Pelodiscus sinensis: one gene and its partners. The protein of the gene in region 1 purifies or fractionates together with the protein of each later gene. This does not show direct contact. Links are inferred from orthologs where the notes say so. Each region holds a gene or a part of one and is shown on either strand. Other genes may lie near its edges. The genes, in order: ATR, CLSPN, TOPBP1 and RPA2.

The links.
Region 2: the proteins of ATR (region 1) and CLSPN purify together in Homo sapiens (affinity purification with western blotting; 3 studies listed by BioGRID). This does not show direct contact. The link is inferred for Pelodiscus sinensis from reciprocal best matches to the Homo sapiens genes ATR and CLSPN.
Region 3: the proteins of ATR (region 1) and TOPBP1 purify together in Homo sapiens (affinity purification with western blotting; 8 studies listed by BioGRID). This does not show direct contact. The link is inferred for Pelodiscus sinensis from reciprocal best matches to the Homo sapiens genes ATR and TOPBP1.
Region 4: the proteins of ATR (region 1) and RPA2 purify together in Homo sapiens (affinity purification with western blotting; 3 studies listed by BioGRID, with this or other methods). This does not show direct contact. The link is inferred for Pelodiscus sinensis from reciprocal best matches to the Homo sapiens genes ATR and RPA2.

What each region holds. Positions count from the first base shown.
Region 1 is NC_134720.1:21,487,751-21,494,772, reverse strand, and holds the start of ATR (serine/threonine-protein kinase ATR), read left to right. Parts: upstream 1-4,003; 5' UTR 4,004-4,258; coding exon 4,259-4,317; intron 4,318-7,022. UniProt on the Homo sapiens protein: Serine/threonine protein kinase which activates checkpoint signaling upon genotoxic stresses such as ionizing radiation (IR), ultraviolet light (UV), or DNA replication stalling, thereby acting as a DNA damage sensor.
Region 2 is NC_134735.1:7,481,718-7,488,670, reverse strand, and holds the start of CLSPN (claspin), read left to right. Parts: upstream 1-3,936; 5' UTR 3,937-4,083; coding exon 4,084-4,095; intron 4,096-6,953.
Region 3 is NC_134712.1:179,226,338-179,234,326, forward strand, and holds the start of TOPBP1 (DNA topoisomerase 2-binding protein 1), read left to right. Parts: upstream 1-4,969; 5' UTR 4,970-5,100; intron 5,101-5,163; exon of another isoform or gene 5,164-5,365; intron 5,366-5,640; exon of another isoform or gene 5,641-5,663; intron 5,664-6,640; 5' UTR 6,641-6,641; coding exon 6,642-6,722; intron 6,723-7,874; coding exon 7,875-7,989. UniProt on the Homo sapiens protein: Scaffold protein that acts as a key protein-protein adapter in DNA replication and DNA repair. Composed of multiple BRCT domains, which specifically recognize and bind phosphorylated proteins, bringing proteins together into functional combinations.
Region 4 is NC_134735.1:22,902,132-22,909,412, forward strand, and holds the start of RPA2 (replication protein A 32 kDa subunit), read right to left. Parts: upstream 3,021-7,281; 5' UTR 3,004-3,020; coding exon 2,865-3,003; intron 1,690-2,864; coding exon 1,586-1,689; intron 1-1,585. Other genes in the region: SMPDL3B (acid sphingomyelinase-like phosphodiesterase 3b), read left to right, coding at 6,650-6,719. UniProt on the Homo sapiens protein: As part of the heterotrimeric replication protein A complex (RPA/RP-A), binds and stabilizes single-stranded DNA intermediates that form during DNA replication or upon DNA stress.

The DNA of each region.
Region 1 (7,022 bases):
AACAAGTAGAGTGGCCACACTACTACACTATTTTGAAATAACGGGCTTGTTATTTTGAAATAACTCCTGCTTGTCATGAGGAACAGTACTATTTCAAAATTGTTATTTTAGGAGTTATTTCAAAACATTTCCTAGTGTAGATATGCCCTAACTGGGCCCATGAAAATTAGGCAAGCTCATTTCTCAAACAGCCACTAGCTAAGGGGCATCTGTGACATGGTGGATCCAGGGATCTCTTTGTACCAACTGGGTGAAAGTTCAGAGGTACATACCTGCATATAAGACCTCCAATGAAAGTCCGTGTCACTCTATTTATGATAATAATTGTAAGATATGTACATACACATTGTCAATTATGTTAAGAGTTCATAGTTAAAAGAAGATCAGTCCAATCTTGAGACAAACTACTCCAGACAATAGGTGGGAGACACTATCTAATCATCGTGGTTCTTATGATAAAAGTCTATTGATATACTAAATCAAATGCTAATTAGGAGCTTTCAAGGATTTCAAAGGAAATGAGAAAGGTAGTAAAGAGAGACAGAACAAGTGAATCTTGGCAAAAAAAGAAGTTACTGAGCCACTTATTGTCTGTCTAGTAGTCTTTGCTAATGGATACTGAACCAAGGATGGTTCTGGGCTTTGTGGGGCACCGTGGGAGACATGGGGAACCTCTGTGATTTCCATAGCTCACCTAGCATATTGGGATTTGAGTACTGGGCAGGTCAAGGTTTCTTGCCATTAGGGGAATATTGGGGAGTTTTAACAATAGGGCAGGGTAGGCAAAAGGAGATTTGACAGTCAGGTTATATCACTTGGAAGGAGATGTCAGGGAGAGCTTTAATAAATGGGAGAAAACTTAGCCTCCCACATTTTTTTTTTTTCATATTTTATTAGAGGACTTGGTTGTGGTGGACATTTGGGTCAGGCTATTTCATAGGAAAAGGACTAACAGAAAAAAGCCAGAGTATCACATATTGACATAATTTGCAAATGCACATAGCTGGCCCTGTATTAAAATAAAGCTATATCTCATCCCGAATTTATGACAATGAAATGTATGTTATAAATGCATTATTGTGATTTCATTGCTGGACTAAGAGGCTTCTAAGGAAAAATACTTATGTAAGCACTTCTGCAGCCTAGTGGTGCTATATGTATCCTATGGCCTGACATAGGAGGGTTATACACCCTCTTTAGGCTTGTGGTTGGAATTTAAAATGTTAATACTCTACCCGCCTTGGTCCTACAATCCCAAAATAGCGAGATTTTGTCAGAAAATTATCAGCAATTAAACTATGCATAATGTTGCTGTTTGAACTGACACTGTGTACAAACTGAACACAAAAGTGCAGACTCAGAAAAACAGTGCTGCATCAGTTCACATTTGGAAGGTTATTTTCACAATCCTAAGGGTTGACAATTTTTTTTTAAATTAAAACTTAAATCTTGCAGAATGTATATGTGAATCAGAAAAATCACCAATTTGATTCTGTTTAATCTGATTTCTGGTCTTTTCATTCCAAAGTTTGATGCCACTTGGCCATCGCCAGTCAAAGTTTAAGGTTTCTAACTGCACACTGGTAATGCCACTTAAAGGTGTTAGTATATATATATTCACATAGCAGTAAATGCTGCAATAAATAATTAAAAATGTAAAGGTTAAACAATTGTGTGCTTGAAAGTCTCCTGAAATATCCCAGTTTCTTCTTATCAAATAGATCTTGAAAGGACAGAATAAGCAGACCAATATTTAAATTTACCTGTATATTTAAATATAATGGGAAGGAAATAGTGTGAATGAAATAAGTTATGAATGAAAAGTGAACTCCCAACAATTTCTTGAAGAGCACTCATTTAAAATGCTTCAGAAACTGGGACATAAGCACATTGATTTCATTTTTTTATCTGTTTTACATACAACATTAATGCTTCAGAATTGGGAAACTGGCCACAGAAACAGAATCCAAAAAAAGGATTTTATTTCAGCCTGTGCTTACATGCATCCCTATAAACAATGCAGGCAAAAGGTTCATAGGCTTGAAAACAAACACAACAAAGACAGTAGCTCCCAATTTGGAAAGCCAAATCAAAACTACAATTTCCCTTTCCCTAGTCTCCTGGCTATTAATATCTGCATTTAGAGACACAGTAAGCTGAAGAACTCCTTTGTTTCCATATCCTGCAGACTGTCTATGTAGGGCAATATATGACTCCTCAGAACTCCATATTCTCCATCATAACCTATTTACTCTATTAAAATATACCTTTATTTTGATGTCTGCTGTGAGAAAGCAGGTTGTCAAGGTGAGAGTGGATGGGTCTCTAGCTTTTAGGTATTTTATTGTTTCATACTTTATGTGTTAAAGTCTGTTTAAAACTACTAACACGTGAATTTAAGAATAACCTGAATACTTTAAATAGATTGGAATATAATCTATTCTAGAATATCTATTCTAGAATATCTTTCCTGCCAAAGAAAGCTTCAGCCGGCTGGCTACAATGAATTGTAAAAAAGCGTAAAGTTGAACAACAGTGCCAGAGATATTCTGGGAACCACATTAAATGCATCTTTGTCAGCAAAGCCAAGGAAACCCCCATTCTCTCTCCCACTCTACCTGCCCGTCCCCTCCAAAAAAAAAAAGTAGAACGGTACAATTGTCACAAGGTATGTGCCAGACCCCTACCTGACGCTGGTCTTGTACCGGCCCCTCCTACTGCTCGGGTTGCAGCGTCTGCGCCAGCCGCGGCTACAATACTTGCTGCGAACTAGAAGACACCTGCTGCCGGGAGCAGTCGAACATCCGCGGGACAGGCAGCTGCCCAGACCAATCCCATTGCGTCCCGGGAGATGGGCTCGGTTCCGAGTGGCGAGCTCCCTCCCGAGGGATGGGCAGGACTCAGTGGCACGGCCCTCTCAAGCTATCAGTGTCCCGTGTCTTTATTAAACAGCGTCGTAGCTGAAGAAACCGGGCCATGGGGTGACACAGGGTCCACGCCCCCATTCAGGGCACTGAGAGAGGAGAAGCGGGCGGGTCCCTCGCTGCGCTGCAGTGGAGATTAGAGAGATGAGCCAACACAGTCCTGGATCAGGGCCCATACTGGTAGGAACTCATAACTCAGAGACCCTTACAGCTGGCATCTCGGTCCCGTTACCGGTGCCTAAAGCCAGCCTTGAATTTTAGGACTTTTCCTCCGTGTTAAATCTCCTGGGGGAGCTCCTCCTATTTAGCGCTGTACTGTGAGTCGGCTGTTCACTGGAAGGATCTTTGCCATGTACTGGGTCCTGCCATGGAGGTAGGGGACTGGACTCGATGACCTCTCCAGGTCCCTTCCAGTCCTAGTATTCTATGATTATGATTCTATGATCTTTTCATAATTAGCCACGATGAGATCTAATGTTAGAGCCAAGTTTACCTCACTCCTCTACCATTACTAGACTCCACAGCTACGGAGGGGAAAAGCTCATGATTGAGAAACATGCTATTGATGATTAGTTCCAAAATCTGGCTTCCGTGATTAATCTCTTGGTTTGTGATCCTTTTCCTTCCCTCTTTTAGTTTTACACACGTGATCCCCGCAAAGTTCATAGGCTGCTGTTGGCAGTGACGAATCTCTCGAGGGCTAATTAAAACCAGGAAACAAACACCCTGAGTTTTAGATCAGGTGAATAAATACGTAATACTTGTAAACAGTATCTGGGTTGAATAGCTTCAAATACCGTTTGCACGGTAGTGGAGTGAATGAAAAGGAAGACTGCCATTGCATTCAGTGTACTTGAGACACTGGCGTGTGGGCATCTCCCTAGCAATAAAATATATCGGTCAGCATGCGGATTTGTGCAATTGCGGTGAATACACTGCCTAGCGAATATGTTATTTCTGCATTACTAAAACCTGAATGTACAACTCCTGGAGTCAGCGCGTTGCTGATCCGTAGCGCATTATCAGCGGGGGGTTAATTACGTAGTCGTTAAAGAGTGTTTCCTCTGCAGCCTTCCTAGCCTGTGCAATGCTATCTTCAGCCGTCTAAAATAAATCGTATTGCTCTTGGCTGAAGTAAAGCTGCGTGCGCGGCGCGTCACAGCAACTGATCAGCCAAGCCAGCCCCTGCCGCGGAGCAAAGGAGGACGCGTTTGCGCTACGCCCTGCTATGAACTGAGGCGTTTTGAGTCCAGCCGGCCACCATCCACAGCTCGCTTTCCCGCCTCTGAGAGGAGTGCGGGGGCCTGCCGCTGAGCCGGGGCTGTTTAACCGCAATGGCCGAGCAGGGCCTGGAGCTGGCCTCTATGATCCCAGCCCTCAGGGAGCTGGGCAGGTAGGTCTGCAGCGGCCCCGCGCCGCTCAGAGCCAGGAGCCTGCGGCAGCTCCGACATGTCTGGGTTGCCCCCCAGCTGGGCTTAGAGCAGAGCGGTAGCTTGACTTCCTCGTGAGCCCTGGCAGCGGGGCGCGCAGGCTGTGGCGGTGGCTTGCACGCGGTGCTAGTAACACAACAAGAAATGGCATTTTACGTGCTGCTCGAAACAACAAAACCCCCTCGCGAGCGTTGGCCTCGTCTGCTCCGTTCGCTTCCAAATGTGCGGAACCTTTTCCAGAGTCTGAGCCGCTGACTGTCTCTGCTGCTGTTTTACTGGTCACGTTGTGGTGTTGAACTCTGCAAAGCTCTTTGCACCACTTGCTTGTTTATAGGCTTATTTGTGATGCTCGCTCACTGCAGTGTCTCAGCACGTGAGAAATGCTAATGGTTTAGTCTCCCAACAATGCTAAGTATTATTCGTACTGTTACAGAGAGGAAAATTAAGATGCAGTGGGGCTAAGTTGTTCTAGGTCACGTGACAAGACAGACAAAGCCAGCTATTTAAACCAGTTCTGCATCCCGGTGCAGTACTGGACAATCCTTGCTTCTCTCATAACTTGTATGTAGGATGCTTATGGAAAATGGTGTCTTGATTTAGTCAAACCTCAGTTTACAGGGTGGCTATGTTCTTGAAAAAACACTGCAAATAAAAACTGTATAAAATGATATCCAAAGTCCATGGGAAATAAGGGCTTAAGTTCCAGGCTCACAGGATGAACTCCCTAACTTATGCAGTGCAGTTTTTATTTTAAAATGTTAAGAAATTTAACCTTGCCATTACTGATTTGAGGATGAACTTGATATGATGAGAACATAACATAAGAATGGCCATAATAGGCAAAAGGTCCGTCAAGCTCAGTTATCCTATCATCTGACTTTAGTCAGTGCCAGGTGCCCAGGAGGAAACAAACAGAATGGATAATCACCAAGTGATCCGTCTCCACTTTTGGCAAATAAAGGCTAGGAATGCCATCCCTGCCCATCCTGGCTAATAGCTATTGATGGACCTGTCTTCCATTAATTTCTCTAGTTCTTTTTTGACCCCTGTAATAGTGTAGCTTCACAACATACTCTGGCAAAAACTTCTACATGTGGACTGTCAATTGTGTGAGGGAAAAAAAATCTTCCTTTTGTTTATTTTAAACTTGCTTCATATTAACTTCATTTGGTGACCCCTACTTTTTGTGTTATGAGAAGTAATAAATAGTGCTTCTTTATTTGCTTTATCAACACCAGTCATGATTTTATAGACCTAAATAATATCCCCCTGTTAATTGTCTCTTCAAAGCTGAAAAATCCCAGTCACATTATGGAGGCTGTTCCCTATTCCAATCACCCTGCTCTCCCTGCCTTGTGTTGCTGCTGGGGAACAGAATAGGGAGCTCACCTCATTCTGCCTGCCACCCTGATGGTGCAACTGGGGAGCACTGTCAGGGCATGGTGGTTTACTTGCTCCCTGGAATGCTGGGTGGATGGAGTCGGGTAAGAATAAGACCTGACCCCACTCTCTGGGCAGATGGAACTGGCAAGTCCTCTTGAACTGAACCTGCTCCCTAGTAGGAAGGCTGGGCAAAATGGCTAAGCCCCTGTGCCCTGATCCTCCTCCCCAGGTAGAGCACCAGGAACGTGCACTGAGTAGGGGAAACCCTCAAACTCACTGCCCACCTGGAGATACTAGGGCTGAAGCAGAGCCAGGGCTGGGGGATGGAGTTGATAACAGCAGACATGAAGAAAATTGGTGATAAGTCAAATTGGTTTTCTTCTGCATATCTTTGTAAACTTCCCTGTAAGGAGCAAGTGCACCCTCAGCTCTCTTGAATTTCAAGCTACGTTCCATATAAGGATGATAAATTTAGATCTAATTTGCATCAACTATTTGTTTAATTGATAAAGGTTCCTCTGCCTTAGAAATGTAGCAAGAGCCTTGCCAATTCTTGCTACTTTTTAAAGGCGGAAGCACCATGGCGAGCATAGCCAGCAGGGGACTCAAGCAATCCCCCACTGACCCCATGCTCCCACCTTGAGCTCCCTCCTGGGGCTCTTATACATTTCAAAAGCAGGGAGCTCAGGACCAGTGGGGGAATGCTTCAGTCCCCAGCTTGCCCCAGGCTCCCCGCAGGCCTTCTGCTGTTGAAATGTAGCAAGACTTTGCTCTTGCTACATTTCAAAGGTGAAAGCGCCGCCAGTTCCTTGCTGCACCCCTGCCTGCCCCTTCTCCCCATGGAGATGGTGCTGGGGGGAACTGGCTTCTAAGCTGGCTACCCCCCAGCACCGGATTTTGCTCCCCACCCTTGCTGCCTCTCTCTGATAGAAGCAGCAAGGAGGGGAAGCAACCAGTCAAATCACTAGTCGACTATCCGATAAGCATTTGCTTATCGGATAGTGGACTAGTTGCTTACATCCCTAATTCCATGTATGGATTCTCAGCAAAAAATAGTCTCGACTTCCTTGGCTAATTGAAAACCTTTATCCAAATTCTTCATTGTCAGTTACAGTTTTGGTGCCACTTGTACCTCCTCACTGTCCTCGTCACTAGTGATTCACTGAATTAGCTCCTGTAGCTCTTTTTTTTTGAGCTTGGTAATGTGGGACTCAAGTAACTCTATTTCTGTTGCTTGGAGTTCATCAAATCCTTCCCCTTCAACATCATGACGCAGCTCTGTGAT
Region 2 (6,953 bases), on another chromosome or scaffold:
AACATGATCTCCTCCTCTTCCTCCATCCTTTTCCTGTAGCTCAAGGGCAGCAGAGTAGCTAACTCATCTCCATAACAGGTGCCTAGGCTGCCTGACTCTAGGCAGCAGCTTCCCAGTAATGGATCACTAAGTAGCTACAGTCAAAACTTCAGCTATCTTTCAGAGAAGTGGAGCTTAACACACACTGTCATCAGTTTAGGTCTATAGTCAATAGAGTGCTGGCTTTTGTGGATTGCATTTTAAAATGATAGTCTCTCTCCTTCCCTTCATTGTATAGAGAGCCCAGATGTCTATGTGTGCAGCTGTGTGGGTCACAGTGTTGTTCCTATGATTTTTGAGGCTCTTAAAAGATAGGCACTGTGACGCCTTGTCTACACTTACCTGTGCAGTTGATCTACTTCACATAGTGGAGCTGAAGTTGACATACTTACCACAGCGTCTTGCGTGAGGTAAGGTCAGGGGGAGCTGCTCTCCTGTTGATGCTGGCTACATTTCTCATCTTGGTGGAGTATTGGCATCAGTGGAAGCACACTTGGAGATCGATTTATTGTGTCTAAGCAGACATTGATTCCCCACGTAATGTAGACAAGATCCAAATCCTTTTGTAGATCCAGGCCAAGATGTGTCTGCAGATCAGCTGGCATTCCCAGTGCACAGCTGCACTAAGGCTTGCCAATGGCTAGGTTATCTAGTTGATTCTACATACTTTTGTAAGACAATGAATAATTTTGCATTCGCATGCTGACCTGTCAGTGGGTGTCTCTTGAATGAACTGATTTTGTGGGTTAATGTGCCCCATGTGTCTCCTAACTGGCCTATTGCAGAAGAAAGTTCTCTTGAAGAAATCAATGAATAGGCAGATCTGCTGTATCTAATCAGATTTCTTAATTTTAAAACTTTACAAATGGACCTGAGCTTTCTGAAAATTGTTCTGACCATATCATTCTAGGAATCTCCTTTTGTGTCCCTGTTACATTGTAAAATAAAAGTAACACCAAGAATGAATTTAGACCAATATTTGAAAACCTACAGTACACCGATGTACTAATGTACTAACCATGATTAATACTTTGTGAAGCTTGCTTGGTAGGCTTTGGTTGTCATCATTTTACACTCTCATGAATTCTGCAAATTTTTAATTTTGAAATTCTTAAGTGTTGTTTTTGCTAAATGTTAGCACAAAATTGTATTTTGCTGGCTGAGTAATGGCTGGCTGATCACTGTTGTGTTGAGGAATCAGAAAAAGTAAGTTATTTATTTTTGGCTTTATAAGCATGTACTTAAGTATGTAAAATTGCTTTTGAACTGCTTGTTAAATTCAACCAAGTACATGTGCCTTCATGTTATATAATTGATTCAGCTGCATTCTCAGGATTTTAAATGTCAGCTTCTGTGACTACATGCTTTTCTTTTAGTCTAAAAATGCTTTTGTAATGACTTTGCTGATGAGTGTGCACCACTGCTGTCCGCTGGATAAAATGAGAACTGATGTGTATCATAAACCCTGTATTGCTAAGAGCTAATAAACGTTTTCCTTTTGCTCGAGAGGTTGCAGCATTTCCTTGTGGAACACAGTTCTCTCTCTGCTGCCACCATTAAATTCCCTTGGCCATGGTATGCAGCATAGTGACAAATGGGAAATCTTAATTGGCCACAACAGTATTTACACTCTGTTGAAATATGTATCTCTATCTGCAATTACGTCACTTAAATAAAACCATTTCAGCTACTAACTTGGTTCTTGCCCACAAAGTGGCTTTTACATAATTACCAATGTAATTTGCAGATCTGTCAAATTCATCAGGCAAGCAGAGCCATCAGTATAGTTTGTAAACCCAGAGAAGAAATGTGATTATTAATTTTTGCTCCTAACAAAATGTAATGCACAGACCCATAACTGTTGAAAACCTCGCTCCCAGATACCAAACAGGATTGATTCAAATAACTGATACTACAGAAGCTGCAGAAAGTGAATTTAGTAACAACAGGGCTTCCATGTAATAGATTAACCAAGGTGCAATACTAGAATATATGTAATCCAAACATAACGGTATTGTCCTGGGGCATAAATACCCCAGAATTTACCTTTTTAGTGATAAGTGAAACAAAACAGAATTTACCTTTTTAGTGATAAGTGAAACAAAACAGATATTAAACTCCTAAGCCTTATTGTCAACTGTTATTAGATGTCCTTCCCCCGCTAACAAGAGAACGTATTTCCTTCACCTCTCTTGCTAATGTATTTATAGAACCTTTTCTTATTACTCTTTATGGCCCTTGTTAGATGTAACTTATTTTGTGCCTTAATTTTATCCTTATATGTTTGTATGGCTTCTTAACAAATTGTCCATGTTTCCACTTTTTGTAGAATTCCATTTTTATTTTTAGATTGCTGACGAACTCTTGGTAGAGCCATATAGATGTCTATAGAGTTGACAGAAGAATGATCACTGGTCAATTTATTGTGTCTATTAACACCCGCTGGACAATGTTCCCACTAATATTTTCTATCCATGTGCAGAATAAATTTTATATGCACCAATGCATTTGCAAATATGCAACACCAGCTAGGGATGTTAAAATTAGATTAATCAACTGTTCAATTTGTTGATAAGGGCGCTTCTGCTTTGAAATGTAGCAAGAGCGCTCCCGGCTATTGCTACATTTCAAAGGTGGAAGTGCTGCACAGCGTTTCACCTTTGAAATGTACATAGGGGATCTTGTGCATTTCAAAGATTGAAATACCACATGGAGCCTGGGGCCAGTGGGGGACTCTGAATCTCTCGCTGGCCCCAGGATCCCTGCAGCGCTTCTGCTTTGAAATATACAAGAGGGCCAGTGGGGACTCTTGCACATTTCAAAGGTGGAACGCCCCCGCTGTGCTCTTGTTCCCTCCCATGGAGCTGGGGGGAACCAGCTTTTAAACCAGCTCCCCCCAACACCCACACCTCTCCCCTGTCTTACTGCCCCTTTCTGACAGAGGCAGCAAGGTGGGGGGAAGCGACAAGTCAACTAATGTGTCAACGATCTGATAAACTTTTGCTTATCGGATAGTTGACTAATCAATTAGTCATTTACATCGACTAATCGATTAGTCATTTAGTTGGAATTGGTCCTGCCTAGAGCAGGGGACTGGACTTGATGACCTTCTGAGGTCTCTTCCAGCTCTATGGTTCTATGGTTCTATGATCCCTACCACCAGCAGACACAAAAACCTAGTGGGTGGGGGCTCTGCTCGTCAGCAGGGCAGCATTTGAATCTCTCCTGAGCCGCGGCACAGAACCCCAGCTTCCAGCGCAGGCTGCGGCCCCGTCGAGCTGACCCGTCGCGCAGTCCTGCCCTTCGAGGAGTCCAGTTCAAGAAGTCGAGGGGCGACGCACGCAGGTGGGGGCGGCTGTACGTTGGCAGCAGGCTGCGCGGGCAGAAAGAGCAGACGCCGCCCGGCACTGGACTGGAAGGGGGTCTGTCCTGCTTGGCTCTCCACAGCGGGTTTAGGACACAGGGCTCCAGGGCGGAGAGGATGGGGGGAGGGGGGGGTCCAGCACTAGCAATAACATTAGCACAGGGCCCTTAAGAGTGGAAGGCCCCTGTGAACTTGGGGGGGCCCCCAGAGGGAGGCCCAAACCAGGCAGCCCCCAGCATGCACTGCGGCCCCCATCCCATTTGGCCAGGGTCACTAGCCCCGAGTTGCGTGATGTGCGGCTAGAGCGGCTCAGGCCCAGCGGGCCCCTCTATCCCTTCGGAGCAGACGAGGCGATGAGCGAGCCGGGAGGGACTTGACAGCGGTGAGGCGCCAATGGGATGCTGGCACAGCCGGGGCCCCCCTCAGGCTCAGAGCCGGATGGCGATTGGTTCGCAGACCTGCAAGGCGGGCCAGTCATCCACTAGGGAGCCGAGTAAGGCGGAGGCTGAAGGCAGAGCACGAGCTGTGATTGGTTCGAGGTGGGGGGCGGGGCTAGCTGCTGCAGAGCGCGAAGAATCGAAGGGGTTTCAATCGCTGGCGGCGGCAGCTGAGGAGACCTGGGGACTCCTGAGGGGCAGCCAGCGTTAGGGGTGCTGCCCACCACCGCGCAGCCTGGGGTCATGGCGGCTGAGGTAAGCTCTCCCGGCCTGCATTGACGGCAGGCGCCGAGAGGGGATGGCGGGGGTGCAGTGACCCCTGTCCCCTCTCTGTTGAGTTTCCCGCAGCTGGCGGGGACTACGACTCCCAGCATGCACGGCGCGTAGGCGGCGCGTCCCAGCATGCACTGCAGTCAGTGGCGGCGAGAGGTCTCAGCCTGCCTTGTGCCCATGTAAGGACTACACGTCCCAGCGTGCCCTTCGGCACACTGAGCTCAGCGAGGCGGTGGCCAAGACGTCCGTGGTGCTCAGCCATTTCATACTATGGGGGGGGGCCCTCTGCAGGAGGCTGGGCTGGTGTCTCCCGCAGGTTTCACTGCTCTGACAAACGACCTGTGTGCAGTCTCAGACTCAAAGGCTAGTTGAGACTGGCATGATTTTCCGCAAATGCTTTTAATGGAAAAGTTTTTCCGTTAAAAGCATTTGCGGAAAAGAGCGTCTAGATTGGCAGGACGCTTTTCCGCAAAAGCACTTTTTGTGGAAAAGCGTCCGTGCCAATCTAGACGTGCTTTTGCGCAAAAAAGCCCCGATCGCCATTTTCGCCATCGGGGCTTTTTTGCGCAAAACAAATCTGAGCTGTCTACACTGGCCCTTTTGCACAAAAGGGACTTTTGCCCGAACAGGAGCAGCATAGTATTTCCCCAAGAAGCACTGATTTCTTACATGAGATGGTCAGTACTCTTGCGGAAATTCCAGCTGCCAGTGTAGACAGCTGGCAAGTTTTTCTGCTTTTGCGGAAAAACTTGCCAGTCTAGCCACAGCCAAAAATACAAACCTGGCACAGAAATGTTGCTGACTGTCCTGCTTCCACTGCATTGTCAAATGTGTTGGGCTGTAAATATTGCAGTGCGCTGTATAAATAAGTTGCATCGACCGTTAGTTTGGAGTGACTTTTCTGGTGCTTTTTATGTAGCCTGTTGTAAAACCAGGTAAATATGTAGGTAAGCTGATGGACGCCTGAAAGATATCTGCACATCCCTTCCCCCGAAGTATGTGTACCGCTGGTTGAGAGCCAGGTCAATGGTTCTCTTGTGGTGCGGTCAGTGAATCTGAGATTCCCGGCGTAACTGGGGGCACCATAAATATGCTGTCCTCGTGACCCACACTGGATAACTAAGGTCCTCCTAATGGGATGGGAATTAAGAATGTTAAGTAGTGAGTAAATGACTAATTGTGTACTCGATATAATGTGTGTTGAGTACATGATTAGTTGATAAAAGGTCACTTGGGTTATGCAGTTTACATGTAGTAGGTGCTGGGCGTGCATAGCTGCAGCGAGGGTAGGTCTGGTACCCAGCATGAGCCAGGCCTGGACTGCTGCAGCTCTGCCTTTTAAATGTAGTAAAAGCTGCCTGGGTTCCACTCTGTGCCTCTGGATTTTAAATGTAGCAAGAGCCAGGTACCTTTTACTATATTTAAAAGGCAGATCTACAGTACTGCTGCATCTTTGCCTCCCTGCCCACCCTCCCCTCACCATGGGGAAGGAGGGAGCCAGCTTTTAAGCAATGTAAAAAAAATAGTCGTGTCGACTACTTGCAATCCCCTCCTTGCTGCCTCTATACCAGAGGCAGCAGGAGGAGTGTAGAAGCAGGAGCCAGCTTTAAAAAGGATGAGGCTTTTTTTTTTTTTTAAATAACCAACAAAGCTATCCAAAGCACAGGACTTGGTGGTGTTGGGAAACTTCAATTATCTAGAGATCTGTTAGGAAAACAACATAGCAGAGCAGAGATTATCCAACAAGTATTTGGAATGTATTGGAGACATTTTTTTTATTTCAGAAGCTGGAGAAAGCTACTGGGGAAGGCTGTTCTGGTTTGATTTTAACAAATAGGGAGGAATTGGCTGAGAATTTGAGACTGGAAGACAGCTTGGGTGAAAGTGATCATGAAATGACAGAGTGCATGATTTTAAAGAATGATTGTAGGGAGAACAGGAAAAAAAGACAGTGGATTTCAAGAAGGCAGCTATAGCAAATGCAGGGAGTTGGTAGATAAGATCCCATGAGAAGCAAGTCTAAGAGGAAAAATAATTGAAGACGGTTGTTTTTCAAAGAGAGGTTAGTAAAGGCACAAGAGCAAATTATCTCACTGTATACAATAGATAGGAAGTACAGCAAGAGACCATGCTGGTTTAACCTGGAGATCTTAAATGATTTAAAAATAACAAAAGGAGTCTTACAAAAACTGGAAACTGGGTCAAGTTATAAAGGATGAATATAAACACATAACACAAATATATAAGGGCAAAATTAGAAAGGACAAGGCACAAAATGAACTCAGACTAGCTAGAGACATAAAGGATAACAAGAAAACATTCTACAAATATATTAGAAGCACAAAGAAGAGCAGGGACAGGATCAGCCCGTTACAAAAAGAGGAAAAAACTAACAGAAAATGTGGAAATAGGTAGGGATATAACCAGTTGACTGGCCTGTCTGGAGCAGCCCACAGCATGGCGGGCCTGGCTGGGATGGAGCAGTCAATCATCCAAGGGGTGGATGGGTGGGCCTCTCCAGCTTGACTGGGCCCTCCACACCATGCTGTGGGTGGGTGAACGGGCAGGCGGGGGCTGCTCCAACCCAGTCGGGCCCACTGCACTGCAGACAGGCAGGGGGCAGCTTCAGTCCAGCTGGGCCCATCATGCCATACCATGCCTTGGGTGGGCAGGAGGACCAGCTAGGGCCCATCATGTCACACTGAGGGCAGGGGAGACCATTCCAGCCTGGCTGGACCTGTCACACCGCAGGATCGAAATTAAGTGGTTAACCAGTTAAATGTTAACCTGTTAACTGATTAAATGGGATTTTATATTCCTAGAAAAGGCAAAGGTGCTTA
Region 3 (7,989 bases), on another chromosome or scaffold:
TGCAATCTATTAAAGTTAGTTGAATTCTTTGGTTTTTGCTTCTTGCAGAAAAATGTGTGTGTTCTAAAAAAAATGTGGGAAAGGGATGGTAAAGATATTCAACACAGCATGTTGCAATACCTAGGGAGCAGACAGGATAAGGTAAGTAGATGTCTCTTTCCAAGCATTAGTAACTGGATAGAGTCTTTCAGTACTAGATCAAATCCATTCCACCATCAGATCAATAGTGATGATAAGCTTCTAGGCAGTGGATCATAAACTTTTGTCTGCTAGCTTAAAGAGCCCTCTGCTATGTGAGATCATCTGCACAGGAAGATTGTCAGACATTGTGACAAACACTTTCCCACATATCAAATATAATTACAGTTTGAGCATCCAAGACACACAATTCACTTAGACTTAATAGCTCCTCACTAATTAAAGATTCTATTCTGCTTCATGCTGAATTGTCTTTGTGGAAGTTGAGCATACTAAAAATTCTTCACAAGATCAGTCCCTCAGTCATGTAGAAGTGTGACCACTACATAAGACCTTCTAAACAGAACTAACCCTAGATGTTAATAAAAGGAATCACTCTAAACTTTTCTTTAAAATATCTTCTATTCCTTCTGGCTGAAATCAAGGGTAACTTGCTATCTTATACAGCTTTTTGTATCTTTCCATTGTAGGGAGCATGAGCTGTAGGTTCTAATTGCAATTGTTACTTTAGCCTAGGTCTTAGTCATTCCAACTTTTTAGTTTATAATGCCACCATGTGGCCACTTTGTTTTGTCTTCTTAAATCAACCCTGTTAAAAGGGTATACAATTCTTAATAGTTAAAAAATATTTAAAAACCAAGCATTTCCTCCCATAAGTCTAGCACTGCTGTCTGAGGAGCCTCACATTGCCTCCAGCCAAGCCAAAGGAGGATGGCAGTACTCAGGTGAGCACCAAAGAGACTGGAAGCTAGGAACATAGGACACCTTTTACAAAAATGAGCTTGTTGGCATTGCATGTACAGATTGCACAGCATATTATAAAAGTAGGGGCTTGCCTTGCTATTGCTGATAAAGTATTTTCTCACAGCTGAACTGTCTGGCTACTGCCATCCAACCAACTGTAACAATTCAGAGGTGCTTTAGATAGTTCATGAAGCATGAAGGAGCCCTAATAAACCATACAAATGCAACACATCATCTACTCCAGCAATTCTCAAACTATTAATTGTGACCCAAAGTGGGTTGTGACTATTTTAATGGATCTGCCAGAGGCTGTTATTAGGCTTACCTGTGGCCCATGGCTGGATTCCAAGTCTCAGTATCTGAGGCCAAAGCCCAAGGGGTTCAGCACTGTGTGCAGGGTGCCTCAAATTACAGGCCACCTGCTGGGTACTGAAGCCTTTGTGGCTATGCATTACCCTCCTTACATAACACCCATGGGGCTCTAGCATTGCCTCCCTCCTCCCCACCGTACCCACCCTATGGCAGAAGGACTCATGTACTGCCCCCCCCTTCCTGTGGTTGTGTAGCAAGGTTTATTGTCATGAGGGCATCTCAATCAGTGTTGCCTCTAATTTTTCCATCTTTAGGCAGAATTTTGTTATACTTATCAATATGGAGGTGGGCTGTGTCTAGACTGGCCACTTTTTCCGTAAAAGCAGTTACTTTTCCGGAAAAACTTACCAGCTGTCTACACTGGCCGCTTGAATTTCCGCAAAAGCACTGACAATCTCATGTAAGATTGTCAATGCTTTTGCTGGAACTACTATGCTGCTCCCATTCGGGCTAAAGTCTTTTTCTGAAAAACTTTTGCGCAAAAAGGCCAGTGTAGACAGCAGAGATTTGTTTTCCGCAAAAAAGCCCTGATTGCGAAAATGGCGATCAGGGTTTTTTTTGCAGAAAAGCGTGTCTAGATTGGCCACGGATGCTTTTCCACAAAAAAGTGCTCTGTTCCGAAAATGCTTTTAACGGAAAACTTTTCCGTTAAAAGCATTTCCGGAAAATCATGCCAGTCTAGACGTAGCCGTGATGTTTTATCCATCAACTTTATATTGGTGCACATAACAAAATTCATGTGGTGGTGGATGGGGATAAAGGTTCATTGTACGGGAGGGGACTCAGCTGTGGGACAGAGGATTGGGGTGAAAGGCTCTGGCTGGGGGTGCAGGATCTGGGGTGGGGCCAGGAATGAGCAGTATAGGGCTGGGATAAAGGGTTGGGGTGCAAAGGTGTAAGGACTCCAGACAGGCATACAGGCTAGGGGTGGATAGGGACTAAGTGGCTAGTGGAGTCACTACTCGATTACTTGCTTCTCCCTCCCCTTGCTGACTCTCTATCAGAGGCAAGGGCGGGGGGAGGGGGGGCGGAAGCAGGAGCCAGTGCTGGGGGGAATCAGCTTAAAAGCCAGTTCTCCACAGCATTGCCTCCACAATGTAAGGTGGAGGAAAGGGGAGGCAAAGGCGCAGCGGTCCAGGATCCAGTACAAGCTAGGACTGCTGAGTCCCAGCTCGCACCAGGTCCTGGACCTACTCCTGCTGCAGCTCTGCTTTTTAAATGCAATAGGAACTGCCCTTATCAACTAATCGCTCAATACAAATTGTATAGAGTACATAATTAGTCAATTATCTGCCTCTTAACATTCTTTGAATTGGGACAAGGTTCAGTGGGGCTACGTCTACATTGGCATGATCTTGTGCAAATACTCTTTAACAAAAGAGTTCTTGTGTTAAAGTATTTGCGCAAGAGAGCGTTTACTCTGGCATGTGCCTTTGCACAAGAGCATCCGTGCCAATGTAGATGCTCTCTTGCGCAAGAAAGCTCCGATGGCCTGTCTGCACTGGCCTCTTGCGCAAGAACAGTTGTGCAAGAGGGCTTATTCCTGAGCAGGAGCATCATAGTTCTTGCGCAAGAAGCACTGATTTCACACATTAGAATGTCAGTGTACTTGTGCAAGAACTCACCACTAGGGTAGAAAGGCAGCATGTTTCTGCGCAAAAGCAGCCGCTTTGGCACAAGATAGCGCCAATGTAGACACAGCCTAGGAGTTTGGGGTGAAGGACCATTCTCCAAGGCTATGTCTACACAGGCAGCTTCTTGCGCAAGAAAACATCCACACTGCCATGTGCGTGGTGTGCTTTTGCACAAGAGCTCCCATGGTAGTGTGGACGCTCTCTTGCACAAGAAAGCTCTGAGGGCCATTTTAGCCATAGGGCTTTCTTGTGCAAGAAATCCCTGCCGAGCATCCACACTGTCCTCTTGCGCAAGAGCTCCTGCGCAAGAGGGTTTACACCTGTTAAAAAAAGAGCCTAACTCTTGCGCAAGGAACCCTCTCTTACCACGCCATACTGTAAATTTCCTTGCCCAAGATCGGGTGGGCAGTGTGGACACTCTGCAAATTCTTGCGCAAGAATGGCCGTACTTGCGCGAGAAGCCGCGAGCGTAGACCTAACCTAAGGTTACTGCAAGGAGAGAGGACACTCCCAGCTCTCTCGCCTTACAGAAGCACCTGGACTGGGGAAACAGCCTGTCTCCCCAAAGTAGTAGCTCTAGGCCCATGGTCACCAACAGGTCGATTGCAATTGACCAGTCAATCGTGAGGCATCCTGTCCGCCCCACCCCCATTTCCCTCCTACCCCCGAAAAGCCCCACTACCTATCTCAAGTGAAAATGGAGGTAGTGTCGGCTTCCCGACTTTGGCTTTTTGCGGAAAAGTGTCCATGGCCAATCTAGACACGGTTTCCCACAAAAAAACCCTGATCGCCATTTTCGCGATCGGGGCTTTTTTGCGGAAAACAGTACTGTGCTGTCTACACTGGCCCTTTTGCACAAAAGTCTTTCGGAAAACTTTTGCCCGAACGGGAGCAGCATAGTATTTCCGGAAAAGCACTGATGATCTTACATGAGATCATCAGTGCTTTTCCGGAAATTCAAGCGGCCAGTGTAGACAGCTGGCAACTTTTTCCGCAAAATCATGCGATTTTGCAGAAAAACTTGCCAGTCTAGACACAGCCAAAATGTATAATTATAAATGCTTCATTTTAGATTTAAATAGCATGAATAAAAAACAGACCATTTATTTCATAACTATAAATACATTATTTTAATTTTATATATCACATAATTTAAAAATAAACTGTTTATCAGAGCGTGTAAGTAAGGGCTGAGGATAGCAAGTGATGGACAGGAGGAGAATAGAGAGGGTGGGGCTTCAAGGAAGGGGCGGGGCAGTAGATCTTCACCTGTTCTGAGATTTAAAAAGTGATCTTGGGTGTAAAAAGGTTGGAGACCACTGCTCTAGACCATGGCAAGTTTGGGGTTGGGGACAGGCTGCTGCCCCAGGATCAGGTCCAGGGTTGGGCCACCCCGGGGGGCAGAGTCAGGCCGGGCCACCCCACCTGACAGGGCCAGGCTGGTGCCAGGTGACCCTGGCTGCAGCAAGTTGAGGGTGGGCTGGGGAGGAATTGAGTTGGCCCTCCTGTGGCTGCCACAGCTTCCCACCACGTGTGGTCTCCTGAAAGAGCGGCAGGGCTCTAAACACCTGGCCGCAGCGCTTACAGGGGAACCTGGCTCTCACCGCACTTACGTTTGGAAGCCCTGGTGTAGCTGCAGCGCCCTCTGCTGGGGAGGGAAACGAGGACCGGACGCTGCATCTCCGCGGGGACTGGAACCAGCGCAGACCCCGCCCCCACATTCACCCAGGGCGGGGCTCAGGAGAGTCGCCTTGTAGCGCCCAGGCTGCCCAGTTCACCCCCCCGCCGCACAAGAGCCCGCGCGCTGTGTCGGGCCAGGGCCACTAAGGAAAGACCCGCGCGCTAGCGGCAGAGTGAGGGCGGGGTGAGCCCCCCCCCCCCCGCCACCTCCAGTCCCAAGGGGCGTGCGGCAGCCGGGGGGAGGGGGGCACCGTCAGGCGTTGACACGCGCACGCGCCCCCCCCAAGCGGCCCCTACAGCCCCTGGCGCTGCCCAGGGCGGGGCGGGCGCAGAACGCGCAGGGACGCAGCGTCGCGCGGCTGAGTCAGGCGCAAGTTGGTGACGCCGGCGGCGGAAGAAGACCAAGCAGCCAACAGCAGAACTGCCGTTGCCGGATCCACTTAGAACGCGCCGCTCGCAGCGCCTTTAAGAGGTGGGCCGGGCCTCCCGTCTTGGTCACGTGACAGAGATGAGCCCGCGCCTGCGCAGTGTGGGTCTGGTGGTCTTCCCGCCAATCTTGGGTTCCCTGTGGGAGCGAGGCCGCAGCATCCGTAACCTCGCCCCGCGCTGACCCCTCCGGGCTCCCCTAGGCTGGGGGGGAGCAAACCCGGCCGACTCGGCTCCTTCCACGGGCAGGGCTGGTGAGGGGGTCCCTGAGCAGCGGGAGGACGCGGCGCAGCCCGGCGGGAGGGGCCGAGGTGACAGATCCGCGACGGCGCGAGTGGCTGTTGCCCGCGCGGGTGGGGGGGGGCTCGTGACGGTGACGCGCGGGGAGAGGCGCGCGACTCCCCAGGTCCCTGCGGCGCCCCCGCCCCCCGGCTGTGGTGAGGGGTGGAGCCGGCGGGGCAAGCGGCGTTGGCCGCTGGGGCGGGGGGAGGCGGCGGCGGCGGGCGGGGTGTTCCTGGTTGGGCGGGGGAGCCCCGTGTCAGACCGATAAGGGAGACCCCGGGAACGTGCAGCCCGGGCTTGCCGCTGAGCAGAGCTGCCTACGGAGCCGTGAGTCTCAGCCTGTTCCCCCGCGCTCTTGTGCAAGGCGCGGTGCTTAGCAGCGCCCCCGCTAATCTTTTCCACCCGAGTGCGGATTTTTTTCCCCCATCCATGTGTGGAATAAATGTTTTATGTGCACCGAGACACGTGCCAATGTGTCCACTAGTAGAAACAAAAACCTGGCTGTTGGCGCCCTGCTGCAGGCTGGTATTTGAAGCTCTCCTGAGCAGCCACCTAAGCACCAAATTTTCAAGAAACACTTGTGTCCTTCCTTATAGGTCCAGCAAATTCTCCAGGTAGTAAAGGGTTGGAGGAGTAAGTCAAGAGGTTACCTAATCTTCACCCCTGCTCTATTTCTGCATCAGAGAGAGTGATCTCTGAGATGTGTTGAGCATCTACATACTGCAGCAGCGGTTCTCAAACTGTGGGTTGGGACTTTGTTTTAATGGGGTTGCTAGGGCTGGCATTAGACTTGCTGGGGACAGAGGCCAACACCCAACCCCTGTCTCCCATGTGCAGTGTCATGACCCAGGGTTTCAGCCTTAGATAGTGGAGTTCAGATGACAGGCCTCCTACCTATGTTTCAGCATTGTCCCCCCTCGCCCCCACACTCTCCCCCGTGGCAGTGGGGCTCAGACTTTGCCTTTGCTCCTCTCCTTCCCAGCCTAGGGCAGCAGGGTTTGGAGCAGGCTCGGTCTTCTCGGGTCAGGTAGTAATGTTTGTAAAAAGGGGTCATGGTGCAATGAAGTGTGATAACCTATGTACAACAGTTATAAGGGGCAATATATGAGCAAATTAGTAGCACTGACATTTACAGGGAATAGATTTTTAATGCTTGGATACATTTGTTCAAGAAATTCAGAAAAAAAACAATTTATGTGGAAAAATAAGTTAGGAACATCTCGTTAATACAAGTCTTGAATACATAACAGTTATTATGAAAAATAATACTTCAAAGCTTATTTTGCTTCATCCATTTGTTAAAGGATGAAAAGTGACAAGGAGCCATTTTTTGTTAAATTTATAAAGTCTTCTGGCAACTCTGAATATTTTTTTAAAGCTCTTGAGGTAAGAACTTTTGGTACCACTGTTAGCTGTTTTCCTGAATTTACTTTTCTTTCTAATTACTTTCATATTTAGTTTTACTATATTTATCTGTAAATAACTGCATTGTTTCTCTCAGATGCAATATTAGATATTAATTTAGATAATACAGTTGCCTTGTTTAACTTTCTACAGCAAGGATCAATATTTTCTGTTATGTACTTCAGTTTTTTTTTTTTTTTACTAATTACAGTGGATTAGTTCCACTTAATACAGTGAAAAAGTCATATGGTGAAATCATTGTTTTGAAACCAGTTCTCTAAGGAGCTGTGTGCCTCTGGAAAGGTGCTGAAGCACTCAGTACTTTGGTCCTAGTACTGGAGACAGTCACTGCCTGGCATGGCCCTTACTACTGTGAGATGTATTTTGAAATAATTTGAAGATCGATTCAAATTAAAATCCGGTGTAATCTGTTAACTGGTTAAATGTTACATTTCCCTGATTAACAGGGATCTTGTGAGCTGGCATGCCCCTCTTCTTCGCCCACAGCCTGGCGGGCCTGGCCAGGCTAGAGTGCCCCCAGCTCATGGCATGGCACAGTGGAACCAGCAGGGCTGGAGCAGGCCTCTGCCTATATTGGGTGGGGGCTACTTCCACTTAGCCAGGCTGCTGCTGATGTTAACTGGTGACATCCGTAACTTAATTAAGAACCTTGACTTCCTCCAGGAACAAATTGTCCTGCAAGATTTGAATTAACTTATTGAATGCTGTGCTTTGATAGCTAGTATTTGAATGATTGGGATCAGTGATTGTAGAAGGCATTCAGCAGGTCCCAGAACAGAATGAGGTGCAATCTTGAGGGTTCAGGTCCCTCTTCCGTGCTAGTACTGAAGAGGGTGCTAAGTCATTTCTCCCCTGAGAAGTCAGTGGGAATTAGAAGGTTCTCATCATCTTGCAAGATAATGTCCAATACATGAAAATGTGTACCCTGTACATTGCAGTGGATTGAAATAATATTATATTTTTGTTTAGTTGCACTGCAAGTAGATTCTTCTGTAGTAATTTTGCTGTAAGTAATTTCAACTGTATATGTTTTGCAATTGCCATAGGTAGATTTATCTTAACTGTTTTATCTTTGAATTTAAGTTAAGTATATTGTTCCATGTTTTCTTGCAGTCCATAAAAGAATTTCAATCCGAAGAATATCTTCAGATTGTTGAAGAAGCACCAGCACTCAATATAAAAGAAAATGACAAATCCCTTTACATCTGTGACCCTTTTAGTGGCATTG
Region 4 (7,281 bases), on another chromosome or scaffold:
TAAATTAATATTTTACTTTATTTAAAATAAAGTTTGATAAACTAACATGAGAAAGTTAAAATGCTTAATTTGTTTAATAATTTAAATTAAACCATTTTCCCTGGCTGCAGCACTAGCAAAATGGCTCGGATGTAGTTAACAGAGAGTTTCCATTAACAACTGGTGGTCGGTGGAAAGGTTTGCCTTGAGCCAGGTGGTCCACGGACCAAAAAGTTTGAGAACCACTGTGCTAGAGGGTGATTGCTGCCCAGGCTACGGCTCCTGGGCTGGGAGGAAGCAGGGGCGACAGAGGAAAACCCCTATCCCAAGTTTTTCCTGTGATTTAATCTGAATCTGCTCCACTGCAGCTTGGGCCCACTACCCTTTGTCCTGACTTTTGTGGCAAGAGAAAACTGTTTTCCATCTTTTTATGGCAGTCTTTCAAATATTTGAAGTCTGGTATCATGTTCCCCCTCAGTCTCTTTTTTCCCCCCAAACTAAACATACCCAGTTCCTACAGCCTTGCATTCCATCCCTTTGATCATCTTTTTTCTGCAGCCTTTCTATACATTGGTGACCAAAACTGGGCACAGTACTCCAGCTGAGGCTCAATCAGCATCAAACAGAGCAGTACTATCACTACCTGTGACTTGCCTCCTATGCATCTGTTAATGCAGCCTAAAATTGTATTTGCTTTTTTTTTTTTTTTTGAAACAATATCACATTACTGATTCATGTTGTGATTGAGATGTTCAAAGAGATTTACAAACACTGAGGCTGTGTCAGCATTATTGTAACTGAATCTGTGACCAGTTAGTCCCAGAGACAGCTCTAACCATGGTTTGAGTTCACTCACAACTGGTACTCTTTAGAATCACAACAGTCAGTCATGCTTTCCAGTGGCCTAGGCTGGCACACAGCCGTTTTCCTCCACAAGGTATGTTGGCTTTGTTTTTCACTATGTAGAAGGAAACGCCTGAATAAGTTTGTGTCACAGGGATGGCCTGTCTTCCACCTTCCTTACAGCTTACCCTATGCACTCTTACTATCCGTCCAGGTGCATGTCCTTCATGCTCCATTATTCCCCTGCTGAGAACATTTAGGATAGTTTGCCCAATTTTCCCTGATACAAACACAGTAGGCAACATGACAGACAAAGGAATATTTTACACATTCTTCTGATGCGGAGGAAAAAAATGCAGAGCTCAGCCATGTTTGGTGTAACCAGGTTAAGTAGCCATAAAATGAATTACAACTGCAACATTTAATTAAGACACAACATTCTGTGAATAAATATCTATTCTGAGAAGGGAAGTCAAAATACAGTATAAGTTACTTGCCAAAGGTCATAAAACACATTGAGGGAAGGACCAAGGCCAAAACCTAGCTCCTAGGCCACTGTACTCCTCCCATCACTGCTTCCCAATTCAATGTTATATTGAAGCTTCTCTCTTATCCCTAATACCGTACAATTTGTTCTCTGCTGGGAGAGGTATAGATAATCCTTCTCATGACAGCAACATAAAGATCAAAACTCTCATGGGAACCTCCCTAGTGTGACCAGGCACCCAGTTCTCCCATTCTTTAAAACCCTTCCACTACATACCTGTTTCTTTTCTCCCTGGGTGGCTGCTGGAGAGCCAAACCCCCCTGGGGACTGTGTGTATCCACCACTAATTGAAGACCCACCATAGCCACCGTCAAAGCCACCTAGGGTAGGGGGGAAAGAATCACAGTTACTAATACATTGTTGCCAATCCCAAGTGTTCAAAAATCACAAGTTATACCAAATAGTCGTGCAATTAGCTTACAATTAGACAAAATAAAGTATAGTAAATACCACCCAAAATGTACATTATATTACTGAGCTCTTTGGGTCACTCAGGTGTTTTCCAGCAGCCGTATCCAGTAGAGGGAAAGCTGAGACTCTCACATATTCACTTAATTCAAACAGCCAAACTTACATTCTCCCCACCTGTAAGTCTTACTCCCCAGCAGCCTGCATTTTTAACCTGCACTCAAGTCCAAACCCCACCAAAGTTCAAAGAAGGCACCAGAACGCTAAGCTCATGGGGACGCCAGGTCACAGAAAGGGGCAATGCCATAGGGTCAGCGACCTGGCCTCAGCAACCTATAGCGTCTCACAAGGTGAGACACATGCCTCATCGCCCCAGCCCCTCCCCCAACACCCTGCCACCCCCCCCATCGCCCCAGCCCCTCCCCCAACACCCTGCCACCCCCCCAGCCCCTCCCCCAACACCCTGCCATCCCCCCAGCCCCTCCCCCAACACCCTGCCATCCCCCCAGCCCCTCCCCCAACACCCTGCCATCGCCCCAGCCCCTCCCCCAACACCCTGCCATCCCCCCCATCGCCCCAGCCCCTCCCCCAACACCCTGCCATCCCCCCCAGCCCCTCCCCCAACACCCTGCCATCCCCCCCATCGCCCCAGCCCCTCCCCCAACACCCTGCCAGCCCCCCCAGCCCCTCCCCCAACACCCTGCCAGCCCCCCCAGCCCCTCCCCCAACACCCTGCCACCTCCCCCCAGCCCCTCCCCCAACACCCTGCCATCCCCCCAGCCCCTCCCCCAACACCCTGCCATCCCCCCAGCCCCTCCCCCAACACCCTGCCATCCCCCCCATCGCCCCAGCCCCTCCCCCAACACCCTGCCATCCCCCCCAGCCCCTCCCCCAACACCCTGCCATCCCCCCCATCGCCCCAGCCCCCCCCAACACCCTGCCAGCCCCCCCAGCCCCTCCCCCAACACCCTGCCAGCCCCCCCAGCCCCTCCCCCAACACCCTGCCAGCCCCCCCATCGCCCCAGCCCCTCCCCCAACACCCTGCCAGCCCCCCCCCAGCCCCTCCCCCAACACCCTGCCCCCCTACCGTGACCGCTCCACATGGCGGCGGCTGCGGACGCTCCAACAGACGCTCGGCTCCGTCGCGCCTCAAATAACCGCCCAATCGGCGAGCCCGCGGCGCTCCAGCCAATCGGCTCCCGCATGGCGAGGGGCGGCGCCACCATCTCCTTCCGGTGGCCTCCGACCCGCGGACGGAAGCGCCGCCGACGCCATCTTTGCTATTGGCGCCGCCCCCTGAGGTCAGTCAGACACGCTCCTCCCAGCGCTGCGGCACGTGCCGTCGTTAGGCTCCTGGGTTAACGCCTCGTGCGCGGGGCTGGGGCAGCTACTGAGCCGGGCTCGGCCCCGCGTCCCGCTCGCCTGGGTCCCCCGGCGCCAGCCCCCAGGGATCGGGGCCCGGCCCCCCGACGCGCCGCCGCGAGTGAACGTGGGAGGCTCCGGCCGCCCAGGCCCAAGAGCCGTTTGTCCCGGGCGCGGCCAGTCTCCGGGGTGCGGGAGACCGAGGGGCGCTCCAGGCCACGCCCGGGTCTCGCTCCCGGAGCAGGGGAAGCGGCGCGCGCCAAAAGGGGAGTCGCGGTTTGCGAGGAACGTGGCTGCAGACGCGGCCTTACCGCCCCCCCCCACTTCCCGCGGCCTTACCGCCCCCCCCCACTTCCCGCGGCCTTACCGCCCCCCCCCCTTCCCGCGGCCTTACCGCCCCCGGCCCTACCGCCCCCCCCCTTCCCGCGGCCCTACCGCCCCCCCCCTTCCCGCGGCCCTACCGCCCCCCCCTTCCCGCGGCCCTACCGCCCCCCCCTTCCCGCGGCCCTACCGCCCCCCCCTTCCCGCGGCCCTACCGCCCCCCCCTTCCCGCGGCCCTACCGCCCCCCCCCTTCCCGCGGCCTTACCGCCCCCCCCCCTTCCCGCGGCCTTACCGCCCCCCCCCTTCCCGCGGCCTTACCGCCCCCCCCCCCTTCCCGCGGCCTTACCGCCCCCCCCCCTTCCCGCGGCCTTACCGCCCCCCCCCCCTTCCCGCGGCCTTACCGCCCCCCCCCCTTCCCGCGGCCTTACCGCCCCCCCCCCTTCCCGCGGCCTTACCGCCTCCCCCCTTCCCGCGGCCTTACCGCCCCCCCCCCTTCCCGCGGCCTTACCGCCCCCCCCCCTTCCCGCGGCCTTACCGCCCCCCCCCCTTCCCGCGGCCTTACCCCCCCCCCCTTCCCGCGGCCTTACCGCCCCCCCCCCTTCCCGCGGCCTTACCGCCCCCCCCCCTTCCCGCGGCCTTACCGCCCCCCCCCTTCCCGCGGCCCTACCGCCCCCCCCCCTTCCCGCGGCCTTACCGCCCCCGGCCCTACCGCCCCCCCCCCTTCCCGCGGCCCTACCGCCCCCCCCCCTTCCCGCGGCCTTACCGCCCCCGGCCCTACGGCCCCCCCCTTCCCGCGGCCCTACCGCCCCCCCCCCTTCCCGCGGCCCTACCGCCCCCCCCCTTCCCGCGGCCCTACCGCCCCCCCCTTCCCGCGGCCCTACCGCCCCCCCCTTCCCGCGGCCTTACCGCCCCCCCCCTTCCCGCGGCCTTACCGCCCCCCCCCTTCCCGCGGCCTTACCGCCCCCCCCCTTCCCGCGGCCTTACCGCCCCCCCCTTCCCGCAGCCTTACCGCCCCCCCCCTTCCCGCGGCCTTACCGCCCCCCCCCTTCCCGCGGCCTTACCGCCCCCCCCCCTTCCCGCGGCCTTACCGCCCCCCCCCCTTCCCGCGGCCTTACCGCCCCCCCCCCCTTCCCGCGGCCTTACCGCCCCCCCCCTTCCCGCGGCCTTACCGCCCCCCCCCCTTCCCGCGGCCTTACCGCCCCCCCCCTTCCCGCGGCCTTACCGCCCCCCCCCCTTCCCGCGGCCTTACCGCCCCCCCCCCTTCCCGCGGCCTTACCGCCCCCCCCCCTTCCCGCGGCCCTACCGCCCCCCCCCCTTCCCGCGGCCCTACCGCCCCCCCCCCTTCCCGCGGCCCTACCGCCCCCCCCCCTTCCCGCGGCCCTACCGCCCCCCCCCTTCCCGCGGCCCTACCGCCCCCCCCCTTCCCGCGGCCCTACCGCCCCCCCCCCTTCCCGCGGCCCTACCGCCCCCCCCCCTTCCCGCGGCCCTACCGCCCCCCCCCTTCCCGCGGCCCTACCGCCCCCCCCCTTCCCGCGGCCTTACCGCCCCCCCCCACTTCCCGCGGCCTTACCGCCCCCCCCCACTTCCCGCGGCCTTACCGCCCCCCCCCACTTCCCGCGGCCTTACCGCCCCCCCCCACTTCCCGCGGCCTTACCGCCCCCCCCCACTTCCCGCGGCCTTACCGCCCCCCCCCTTCCCGCGGCCCTACCGCCCCCCCCCTTCCCGCGGCCCTACCGCCCCCCCCCCTTCCCGCGGCCCTACCGCCCCCCCCTTCCCGCGGCCCTACCGCCCCCCCCCTTCCCGCGGCCTTACCGCCCCCCCCCACTTCCCGCGGCCTTACCGCCCCCCCCCACTTCCCGCGGCCTTACCGCCCCCCCCCACTTCCCGCGGCCTTACCGCCCCGCCCCCCCCCACTTCCCGCGGCCTTACCGCCCCGCCCCCCCCCCACTTCCCGCGGCCTTACCGCCCCGCGCCCCCCCCACTTCCCGCGGCCTTACCGCCCCGCCCCCCCCACTTCCCGCGGCCCTACCGCCCCCCCCCACTTCCCGCGGCCCTACCGCCCCCCCCCACTTCCCGCGGCCCTACCGCCCCCCCCCACTTCCCGCGGCCTTACCGCCCCCCCCCCCTTCCCGCGGCCTTACCGCCCCCCCCCACTTCCCGCGGCCCTACCGCCCCGCCCCCCCCCCACTTCCCGCGGCCCTACCGCCCCCCCACTTCCCGCGGCCCTACCGCCCCCCCCCCACTTCCCGCGGCCCTACCGCCCCCCCCCTTCCCGCGGCCGCCGCGGGCGGGTGGAGGCAGGAGCTGCTTGGACACGTAAGGGCACGTTCGGAGGGGTGTAGCACGGCGGTGCCGCCGGTCGCTGACATTCTCTACGCCATTCGCAGGGGCTTTTGGGGATGCTGCTGAGGCAGCTGATGGGTGACCCTCCACTACTCACTGTGGTGGGCATGGCAGGGTTGCTGGCTGATTCGTTTCTCGCCACTTGGGATAATGCAGCCCATCAGTACGGGGGTAGGGGAAGTATTTCAGGCAGCTGGGAAGAAGCTGGGAAGTAGGGCTAGATGTGAGACCTGGGCTGGGAATGCAGTGAGTTAGGCAGGACTTAGTAATGGGATGTGGTAGTGAGAAGGCCCCTGTGATTTCAGTTGGCACCTGCACAAGAGTCCTGTGATGGAGCAAGAGGTGAGATGTCCTTTGTGTAAGGGACTGGTCTCTGCATCCTGTTCCAGGCACTTGCCCCCGGAAAGGTACCAAGAAAGTAGAACAGATTCTGAGAACAGCAACCAAAGTGCTGGTGAGGGAGGGAAGTGAGGCACTAGGCACCCTGAGTCTGGCTGGGTGGTGAGCAACAGGCCACCTAAAACCTGCCAGTAGATATTTGAGGTAATCTAAATATTCAGACCCCAGTAGGGAATTCACTCCTGCCCTGTACCTTATTTTTGCTGGCTTAACCAACAAAACCAGCCTCCCTGGAGAATGCCACCGGCTCCAGCAGCAGCGGTGCCCAGATTGGGCTGCAAGGGACCCTCCATGGGCTGAGAATCTTTCTTAAGGCAAGCTAGAAGTGCTCCCATTTCACACATTGCCAGGAAGTCAGGTGAGGTGACAGCTGCCTGGGATTGGCTCTTCTCAACAGCAAAGTGGCAATTAGTCAGCAGCTGTCAGAGCTCCCCATTCCAGTTCAGATGGATGCCTTGAGGTTCCTGCTGCTGCTAATGCACTGCAGAATTGCTGCTGCTGCCGCCGCCACCCAAGGTAACAGCCCTCATGAGTTTTCTGTGCCTGCCTGATTTTGCTAGGTCTGGAGGAAGCGTTCCTCCTTCCAAGGGAAGATTTGCCATAGCTTGGTTTCTACTTGACTTCCAAACTAAACTTGGCTTGCTCACGTCTCTTTAAACGAGCTGCAAGATGTGAACAGACCCAGGGCTTCTGGGGCAGCACATGACTGGCTCTCCTGGCATTCATGAAGTTGATTTTTGTCAGCCCACTGATGGGATTGTGTTGAGGCCAACCCTGCCTTGAGGCGCAGGCAGAAAGCATTGGGTGAGGCACAGGATGAGTGAGCTCTCAGCCCTGCCTCTGTTACTGCAAAATCATGGCAAACTTAGAAAAGGCACCTTCTTTACATGTTAGTTTAGCACCCCCAGACAGCCCCGTGACAGATGAGTGGGCAATGGCTCCTGTGTGCAGCAAGTGGGGGTTGGTGGCTCGGGCAGCTGGTTATGTCAGAAGGTGAGTGTGTCTGCATGTTTCTTTTTCACTGGGCAATAGATGAGAATTGTATTAAAACCCCAGGAAAATGGGATTAAAAAAAATA